Sus scrofa: one gene and its partner. The protein of the gene in region 1 purifies or fractionates together with the protein of each later gene. This does not show direct contact. Links are inferred from orthologs where the notes say so. Each region holds a gene or a part of one and is shown on either strand. Other genes may lie near its edges. The genes, in order: KCNJ4 and DLG4.

Evidence for each region.
Region 2: the proteins of KCNJ4 (region 1) and DLG4 purify together in Homo sapiens (affinity purification with western blotting, with the first as the bait; 3 studies listed by BioGRID). This does not show direct contact. The link is inferred for Sus scrofa from reciprocal best matches to the Homo sapiens genes KCNJ4 and DLG4.

Annotation. Positions count from the first base shown.
Region 1 is NC_010447.5:9,524,906-9,529,252, forward strand, and holds the start of KCNJ4 (inward rectifier potassium channel 4), read left to right. Parts: upstream 1-1,493; 5' UTR 1,494-2,362; intron 2,363-4,347. UniProt on the Homo sapiens protein: Inward rectifier potassium channels are characterized by a greater tendency to allow potassium to flow into the cell rather than out of it.
Region 2 is NC_010454.4:52,549,777-52,553,571, reverse strand, and holds the end of DLG4 (disks large homolog 4), read left to right. Parts: intron 1-189; coding exon 190-362; intron 363-1,287; coding exon 1,288-1,397; intron 1,398-2,207; coding exon 2,208-2,299; intron 2,300-2,496; coding exon 2,497-2,603; 3' UTR 2,604-3,434; downstream 3,435-3,795. UniProt on the Homo sapiens protein: Postsynaptic scaffolding protein that plays a critical role in synaptogenesis and synaptic plasticity by providing a platform for the postsynaptic clustering of crucial synaptic proteins.

The DNA of each region.
Region 1 (4,347 bases):
GTGTAGGTTGCAGATGCAGCTCGGATCCTGCGTTGCTGTGGCTCTGGCTGTTGCTGTGGCTACAGCTCCGATTAGACCCCTAGCCTGGGAACCCCCATATGCCGTGGGAGCGGCCCAAAGAAATAGCAAAAAGACAAAAAAAAAAAAAAAAAAAAAAAAAAAGAACTAAACTTGTGGCCGGTGCTGGATGAATGAATGAGGAGGTGATGGATGACTTCTGCTAAGGGCAGCAGGAGGCCTTCCTAGGGGAGGTGGCGTGGAGGCTGGACTTGGGAAACAGCAGGAATTCTTAGAGCAGAGAAGCAGGAAGGGCATTTAAGGCAGGAAGAATAGCATGTGCAAAGGCAGAGAGGTGTGGAAGCATCTGGTGTGTTCGGGAATCTGTAGGCATCGTGGTGTATGTGTGGGTATATGGGGTGTGAGATAAGGTGGGACCTGACTGTACATCACACTGAGGAGTTGGGACGCAATCCTTTTAGGAGGGGAGGGACTGTGGGGATTGGGAACAGTCATGATGGTTCAAGTGTGGTGGTTCCTGTGCCTGCGGCAACTTCAGAGGGTCAGCTTGAAGGATGAGCTGGAGATTTTATGTTCAGTAAATTCTCGGTCCGGCTTGGAGTGCCCCAATCTCCCTCACTTAACTGGGGCCAGTCAGAGATGGCCAGGCTCCCAGGGAAGTCCTTCTGGCTATCTAACTGCAGGTATTCGTTCATCCTCGCACCCTACATCCTCTAACCTCCTGCATCCTCAGAGTGAGGTGGCAGGAATGGCCACGGGAGTGGCTGGCTCGCCAGGGGCTGTGAGGAGCTGGGGCTTTCTCCCCACAGTCCAGACTGGTGTGGGGTCCAGACCGGTGCGCCCCCAAGATGAGAAGGAAACGGGCGAGATCCTCCCTATAAAGACATTTTGGGGTGATGGGGACGCAGAGAAGGAAAAACTGTGGTTTGGCCCGGCTCTGCCACCTCTGGGTGACCTTGGGCAAACTTATGACCCTTTCTGATACCCAGTTTCCCAGTCTGTCAAACGGGGCGGTGCTGCCCAGCGGATGGTGAGGGTCCCTCCAGGAGGGTTACACCTCCGGCTCCCGGGGGCGGGGTGCGTAGGGTCCTTAATGGCCAGTCCTGCAGGAGGGGAAGGGAACCGCCGAGGGGAGTGGCCCGCAGCCGAGGAACCGGGTACCGACCCTATCCCACCCACTCCCTTCCCGGCGCGGAGGAACCCTCTCCACCTGCCCCTGGGGGGCGAGAAAACCTGGGAGCGGATTCTCGGAGCGGGTTCTGGGCGGAGTGCTCCTGGAGGGAGGAGGAAAACCCGGGCAGGATCTGGGACAGGAGCGGCCCCCGCGGCCCCCAGCCCCTGCCCGGCCCGGCGCTGCCCGCGGGTGGGAGGGGGTGTGATGCCGGGCTAGGCTGAGGGGACGGGCCGGGGCCGGGTCCCCCGGGCCGCCCGGGGCTCCGGGGCTGGGGTGGGGGGGCGCGGCCTCCGCAGCGGGGCGCGGGTCACGTGTGAGGAGGGGCGAAAGTCTCGCAAAGCGGGGCGGCGTGCCGCGAGTTGGGAGTTCTCGGCGCGCCGCGGGCGGCGGGAGCTCGGGCTCCCGGGCGAGCCGGGGACGCGGCAGAGGCGGGGGCCTGGGTCCGAGACCGCGGGGGCCGCACCGAGAGTGGGAGGCAGAGAGAGAGAGAGGCAGAGGCAGGGACCCGGAGCGAGACAGAGACGCTCAGGGGAGAGAGGGCAGAGGCAGAGGAAGGCAGCGGACAGACCGGGAGGGCGACGGAGACGAAGACAGGGGCCCGCGGGGAGAGTCGGAGAGACCCAGGCGGGCAGGAGAGACTGCGAGAGACCGAGAGCCGAGGGGGCCGGCGGGGGCGGGGGCGGCAGAGCCCGGGCCGGCCGGCTTCGGGGGTCTCGGGGCCGGAGGCGAGCGCAGCGGGCCAGGGAGCGGAGCGCAGGGCGGGGGACAGCGCCGAGGGACAGCGAGAGAACCGTGGGGGCGGCGGAGAGAAGGCGGCGGGGGCGGGGGGCTCCAGCGCCATGGGTCCCCGGACCCCCGCGCTCTGAGCCCCGGCCCGGGGCCCGACGATGCTGAAGCTGAGGCGGCGCCGAGGGCGCGGCGCGGGGCAGCGCTGAAAGTTGGGCGGCCGGCGGGGAGCGGCGCGGGACGGCCCGGAGGCCGGGACACCGGGGGACCGACGGACAGACCCACAGGCAGCGGGGGAGGGGGGCGGGGCCGGCCGCCGAGTTCGCGGGGAAGGGGCGCCGGGACTCCCCGCTCCCGGCCCGGGACGCTGCCCGCCCGACTGCGCCGTGGGATGTAGCGGCCTCTCGCCGCCTCCCGGAGACTCGTCGGACCCTGCGCCCCGCGGTAAGCCCGGCCGGCGCTCGCCGCTGGCGCTGTCCGTCCGTCTGTCCCGCCGCGTGCGTGTGTATGTGTGTGTGTCCCGGGGCCTGGCGGCTCGGGCCCCGCCCGCTCGGCACCTTATCCCCTGACCCGGGCTTCGGCCGCCGGGCGCGCGTTCAGCGCGATCAGGCGACTTCCCCGGAGCCGAGGAGCTCTGTCCTCTGTCCGTCGTCGTCTCAGGAGCGTCAAGGTCTGGGTTTCTGCCAGGAGGGGGGGTAGAGGTGAGTGCAAAGGGCCTGGACCTCTTGCCCCGGCCGTGACCTTTCCCTGCCTCCACCCACCCCCAGTTGTCACACTGGGTTGGAGGAGTTTCAAAGCAGATGACTTGTGGCAAAGGGGGGGGGGGGTCTCCTATCCACCTCCCCAACTGCAGCCTGTTTGCAAAATGGCCCTGACAGAACAAAATCCCTCTTCTCTCGTTTTGAGCACCTGCTTTGGGCCCTGAGACCCTAGAGAGGGTGGACAGGGATGGATGAAGCAGTTCAGGCTTCCCAGCGGTGGCGACAGGCCACAGAGGGAGGCCAGAGTGCCTTCCCTCCCTAGACGGAGAGCACCAGGAAAGAGAGGTCTGGATGGAGTAGGGAAACTTCCCTGCAACCGTGCCCAGTGTCCCCTGACCAGCATCTACATGGCACTTGTGTTTCCAGAGCCCAGGCTCTAAGATGGGGAGAGGGTGCAGGGGGGTGGTGGGGGTGGGCGAGAGACAGGTGGAGGGCTGCCTGGCATAGTTAGCAGGCGGGGGCCTCCGGAGCAGGAGGATGCCAAGAAGCAGGTTGAGGGAACAGAGAGCTGAGGGAGGGAGGCCTAAGGGCCACACATGCAAGGTCCAGAGAGGAGCCAGACCTGTGTGTGTGTGCGTGTGCGTGTGCGTGTGTGTGTGTGTGTGTGTGTAGAATGTCTATTCTGTTTCTCCCCCACATCCAGTCTTGTGACCTCCATGGCTTTGGGACTTTTGAGAGCTGTTGGCAGGACTTTGGGGGCCTGAGAGCCAAACTGTGGTCCTGGCGTGGCCTGGGATGAGGGGACAACATGTGGAAGGGGGCACTGGGCTCAGGGCTGCCGTGCGGTGTGGCAGGAGCAAAGGCGGTTGGCTGTTGAGCTGACCTATAGCCAAATCGGAGTCTGGAGGGCTGAACCTAGAACATTCTACTTGGTTCTCTCCTGGGGGATGGGCTCTTCCTGGGGTTTTCCCCACTGGGCAGTGGGCCTTGGGTAGCCCCCATTTGGGCTCCTAGAAGTCTGCTCAGCTGGCAGAGGGGCCAGCACCACGGGCAAGCCGCTCTCCTCCCTGGCCCTCAACTTCCACATCTGTGGAATGAGGACAGCAGTCAGTCCCCTGTCCCACTGACCTCCAAGGGAGGGGGGGCTGGGCTCGAGGGAGCCGAGGGCTGTCTACAGGCTGGGAAAGTGCAGAGCAAATGGAAGTAAAGACTCATTTTACCTCTGGGAAGAGGCATAGCTAACGGGGAGGGGGAACGTGGCCTGAACTAGAGGACTGACCAAGAAGGGCAGTGTCCGGCATCCGAGGAGGGGGACCTGGGGCTGGGGACCTCTTCCTCAGGAACCTTTGGGTGTACCCTGGAAAGGGAAGCTCCTCTCTCCTGCAAGTATTGGAGTGACTGGGACTAGACAGGGCTGGCCTTGAATTTCTCCTGGGTGACCTTGGGCAGCTGGCCGGACCTCTCTGGGCCTCGGTTTCTTCACCTGGGAAGTGGGGATGACGGCACTGACTTCTTTGGGTTGCTGAGTGATTCGCAGACTAGGTCAGGTCTCTGGAAGCAGCTGACACAAGTCTGGAGCATAGTAGGTTCTTACCTGACATTTGCAGAGCAGAGAATGAAGGAGCCCTAGGAGATACGGTGAAAGGATTTCTTAGCTTAGGATGGAAGAGGGAAGGGGAGGAGGAACAGTGTAGGCTTACAGGGCGGGCTGGTTCTTAATGTGGATCT
Region 2 (3,795 bases), on another chromosome or scaffold:
GCTTCTCAAGTCACCCTCACGTCCTGGGCTGACCATCCCAGGGCAGGGATTTGGAGGACTCGGCGGTGGTGGTGTGGGGGGGAGGCAGCTCTGCCCCCCTCGGCCGGCATCTGGGGCTGCGCCGAAGGCAGGGCTGAAGCTAGACGGATGGCGGTTAGCTCTTTGGGGGCTGGGGTGACTTCCCGGCAGATACGACACGGCCCAAGCGGGAGTATGAGATAGATGGCCGGGATTACCACTTTGTGTCGTCCCGGGAGAAAATGGAGAAGGACATCCAGGCACACAAGTTCATCGAGGCCGGCCAGTACAACAGCCACCTGTATGGAACCAGCGTCCAGTCCGTGCGAGAGGTGGCAGAGCAGGTAGGAGCCGGCGGCCCGTCCTCTTCCTCCTCCCTCTCCCTGCCCTGTGGCCTTCCTCCAGCTGTCTCTAACTCTCTCTCTCTCTCTGTCTGTCTCTTTCCCTGCTGGGTCTCCGCTCCGCTCCTCCACCTCCTCCTCCTCCTGGGCAACTCTGTCGCCTGCCTGCTTTCCCGGGCCCCGCCCCCGCCTCCCTCCCTCGGTTCCTGACCCCAAACTCCGTGCTGCCATCTGTCCCCTCCCCTCCCCTCCTCCTTGCCCCATTTTTGCCTCTCCTCCTGTGGCCTCGGCCTTGATGGCCCGGCCTCCCCCCTCTGGGCCCTCCCTTCTGCCGGCTCCCCTCGGGTCCTCTCCCCTCCCCCTGCCCGTCCCTGGGGTCCCGGCTCCCGTCTCCCACTCCTCTGCCACCTCCTTCTTCCCCATGCCCCCACCCTGCCCTCTCTCCCTCCACGGCTTCTTTCTCCATCTGCCTCTCCTCCCTCCATCTGCTTCTCCTTGTTCCTTCCATCTGTCTGTCCTCTGTCCGTCCTCCCGGCCCTCCTCCCTCCACCCCACTTCCCTTCTCCTTCTGGGCTTTCTCCCCAACCTGTCGACGCCACCCCGCTCTTGCCTTGCTCTGCCCCATCTTTTGGGTCCCCTCCCTGCCTGTTCCTCACCCCTCTGCCCATTCCCCCAATCCCTCCCTCCTGTGCTGGCCCCTCCCTTGCTCTCTGTCTGCCGGCCTCCTTTTCTGTCCCTCACTCTGTCTGTCTGTACCTTTCTTGCCTCAACTTTCTCTGCCCACGTGTCTTTCGACATCCATGTCATTTCCCTTTTGGTGAATCTGCCGTTCCCCACCTTCTGGCATACTGTGTCCTGTCCTGGCACCTCTGTCTGTCCTTTCCCACCACCTGCTGGCCCCCCTCCGCCCGCCCTGCCCGCCCCCCAGGGGAAGCACTGCATCCTCGACGTCTCGGCCAATGCCGTGCGGCGGCTGCAGGCGGCCCACCTGCATCCTATCGCCATCTTCATCCGCCCCCGCTCCCTGGAGAATGTTCTGTGAGTATGGTCCCGGGGGGGCCTCCCCTCTGCTCCCCGCACCTGTGGCCCTGGGCCTCAGAAGGCCTCTGCGTTGAACTCTTCCCTCAGAACCCTGGACAGTGGCTCCAGCAGCCCTTGAGGGGGGTCTGCACCTGGAGTTGGCACCCAGAGGATGCAGGGACTCCCAGGCCTCTTTCTGCCTCCCTGCCCTGGTCTAGGCAGGACTACAACTCCCAGCAACCCCTGGGGCACACACCTGCTGGGGCGAGCCAGGGCCTCTGGGCTTTCGGGAGTTAGAGGCTGAATCCCTTCACTGGGGTGCGGGCTGGAAGGAGGAGGTGCTGGAGAGGTCCCTGAAGTGGCCACACCTGGCTGGGGTGGGTCACGGGGAGGGGGCCTATCTGTGGCCCCAGAGGATCTTGGAAGTTGTGCTCTTGGCATCAAGCTCCAACTAGGAAAATACGGGTTGCAGAGTTCCCGTTGTGGTGCAGGGGAAACGAATCCGATTAGTATCCATGAGGATGCGGGTTTGATCCCTGGCCTTGCTTGAGGTGTTGCCGTGAGCTGTGGTGTAGGTCAGTGATGCGGCTCAGATCCCGAGTTGCTGTGGCTGTGGTGTAGGCTGGCAGCTACAGCTCCAATTCGACCCTAGCCTGGAAACTTCCATGTATCTCCAGTGCGGCCCTAAAAAGCAAAAAAAAAAAAAAAAAAAAAAAAAAAAACGGAAAGGAAAAGAAAAGAAAATAGGGCTGCGACTTAACATCCCTGGATGGAGGAGACGGAGGGCTGAGGGACCACCCTGAGGTCTGTGTGGCTCTTGCTCCGCAGAGAGATCAATAAGCGGATCACAGAGGAGCAAGCCCGCAAAGCCTTCGACAGAGCCTCCAAACTGGAGCAGGAATTCACAGAGTGCTTCTCAGGTGAGGCTGCGGCGAGCCCGCCGCCAGGGCGCCAGGTGTCTTCGGCCGCAGCGTCAAAAAAGAGGCCCCTCTGGGTGGGTGATGTAGAAAGAGCTGCCGCCTTTGGGCTGGTGCAGCCCCGCGGCTCCTGGATGGGAAAGTGAGGCCGAGGTGCCCCTCCCTTCCCTGGGCCTGACGCCCCGCTCCCTCCGCCGCAGCCATCGTGGAGGGCGACAGCTTTGAGGAGATCTACCACAAGGTGAAGCGTGTCATCGAGGACCTCTCAGGCCCCTACATCTGGGTCCCAGCCCGAGAGAGACTCTGATTCCTTCCCTGGCTTGGCTGGACTTGCCCTGCCTCCATTGCCGGGGCCCTTGGTCTGGACTGAACTGCCCGAGCCCTTCGCACCCAGCCTCCCTCCCACCCCTTCTTATTTATTTCCTTTCTAACCGGATCCAGCCCGTTGGAGGGGGGACGCTCCTCTGCATGTATCCCCGCTCCCCAGAACTGGGCTCCTGAGCCCCCAGGAACCTGGGGTCTGGGGTGGGGGAGCCGGGCGCCTGGTCCCGAGCCCGAGCTCCTCAGGACCCCTGAGCCCTGCCCGCCCCCAGCGCGCACACACAGACCCCCCGGGGGCGCCTGCCCTCCCCTCCCACACACATTCCAGAAGTCAGGGCCCCTCCAGGAGCGCCCGCTGCAGGGCTGCAGGGCTGTAGGGCTGCAGGGCTGCAGGGCTGCAGGGCTCCGTGCTCTCCCGAGGCAGGGTCTGGGGTCACCCCTGCCCCCATCATAACTCCCCACGTCCCTTGAGTTCTCATTTATTTTTTTTCCATTTTTTTTCCTCTCAAAGGTGGTTTTTGGGGGGATACGTGGGGGGACCCCACTGCGGGCCCCCTGCCTTCCACACGCCCCCCACCTTTTTTCTTTGCCGGTTTGCATGAGTGGAAGGTCTAACTGTGGCTTTTTTTTTTTTTTTCTGGGATTTTTTTGGGGAACGGGGAGGGATGGGTCTAGGGAGTGGGAATGTGGGGGGGAGGGGGGCAGGGTTGGGGGTCGGGTGTCCGGGAGCCAGGGGACGACTGGAAATGCTGCCGCCTTCTGCAATTTATTTATTTTTTCTTTCGAGAGAGTGAAAGGAAGAGACAGATACTTGAAACCTGGTGTGTGGCCTGGTTATTTGGGGCCCGGGTGAGGAGGGAGGCAGGGTGGCAGCATGGCGCTGGGTCCGATGAAGTCAGATCCTTCTTTACCCACCGGCCCCTCACCCCCAGACAGGAGAGGGTGGCCCGAAAGGGGGGGCCTTGAAGGGAACCTCCACAGCAGAGCTCCCGTGTCATGAGGAAGAATGGGCTTGGGGGTGAGGGGCTGGAGCTTGGTCCTAGGTCACTGACAGACCCAGAAAGAGGCCCTGCCAAGGTAGCCCGGCCCTGACCACTCCCCTGGGCAGCCTCAGTCTTGTCAGGCAGCACAGTGGTCTCCGAAGGAGAGTAGAGATGATACAGCGTTCATCCGTGTTC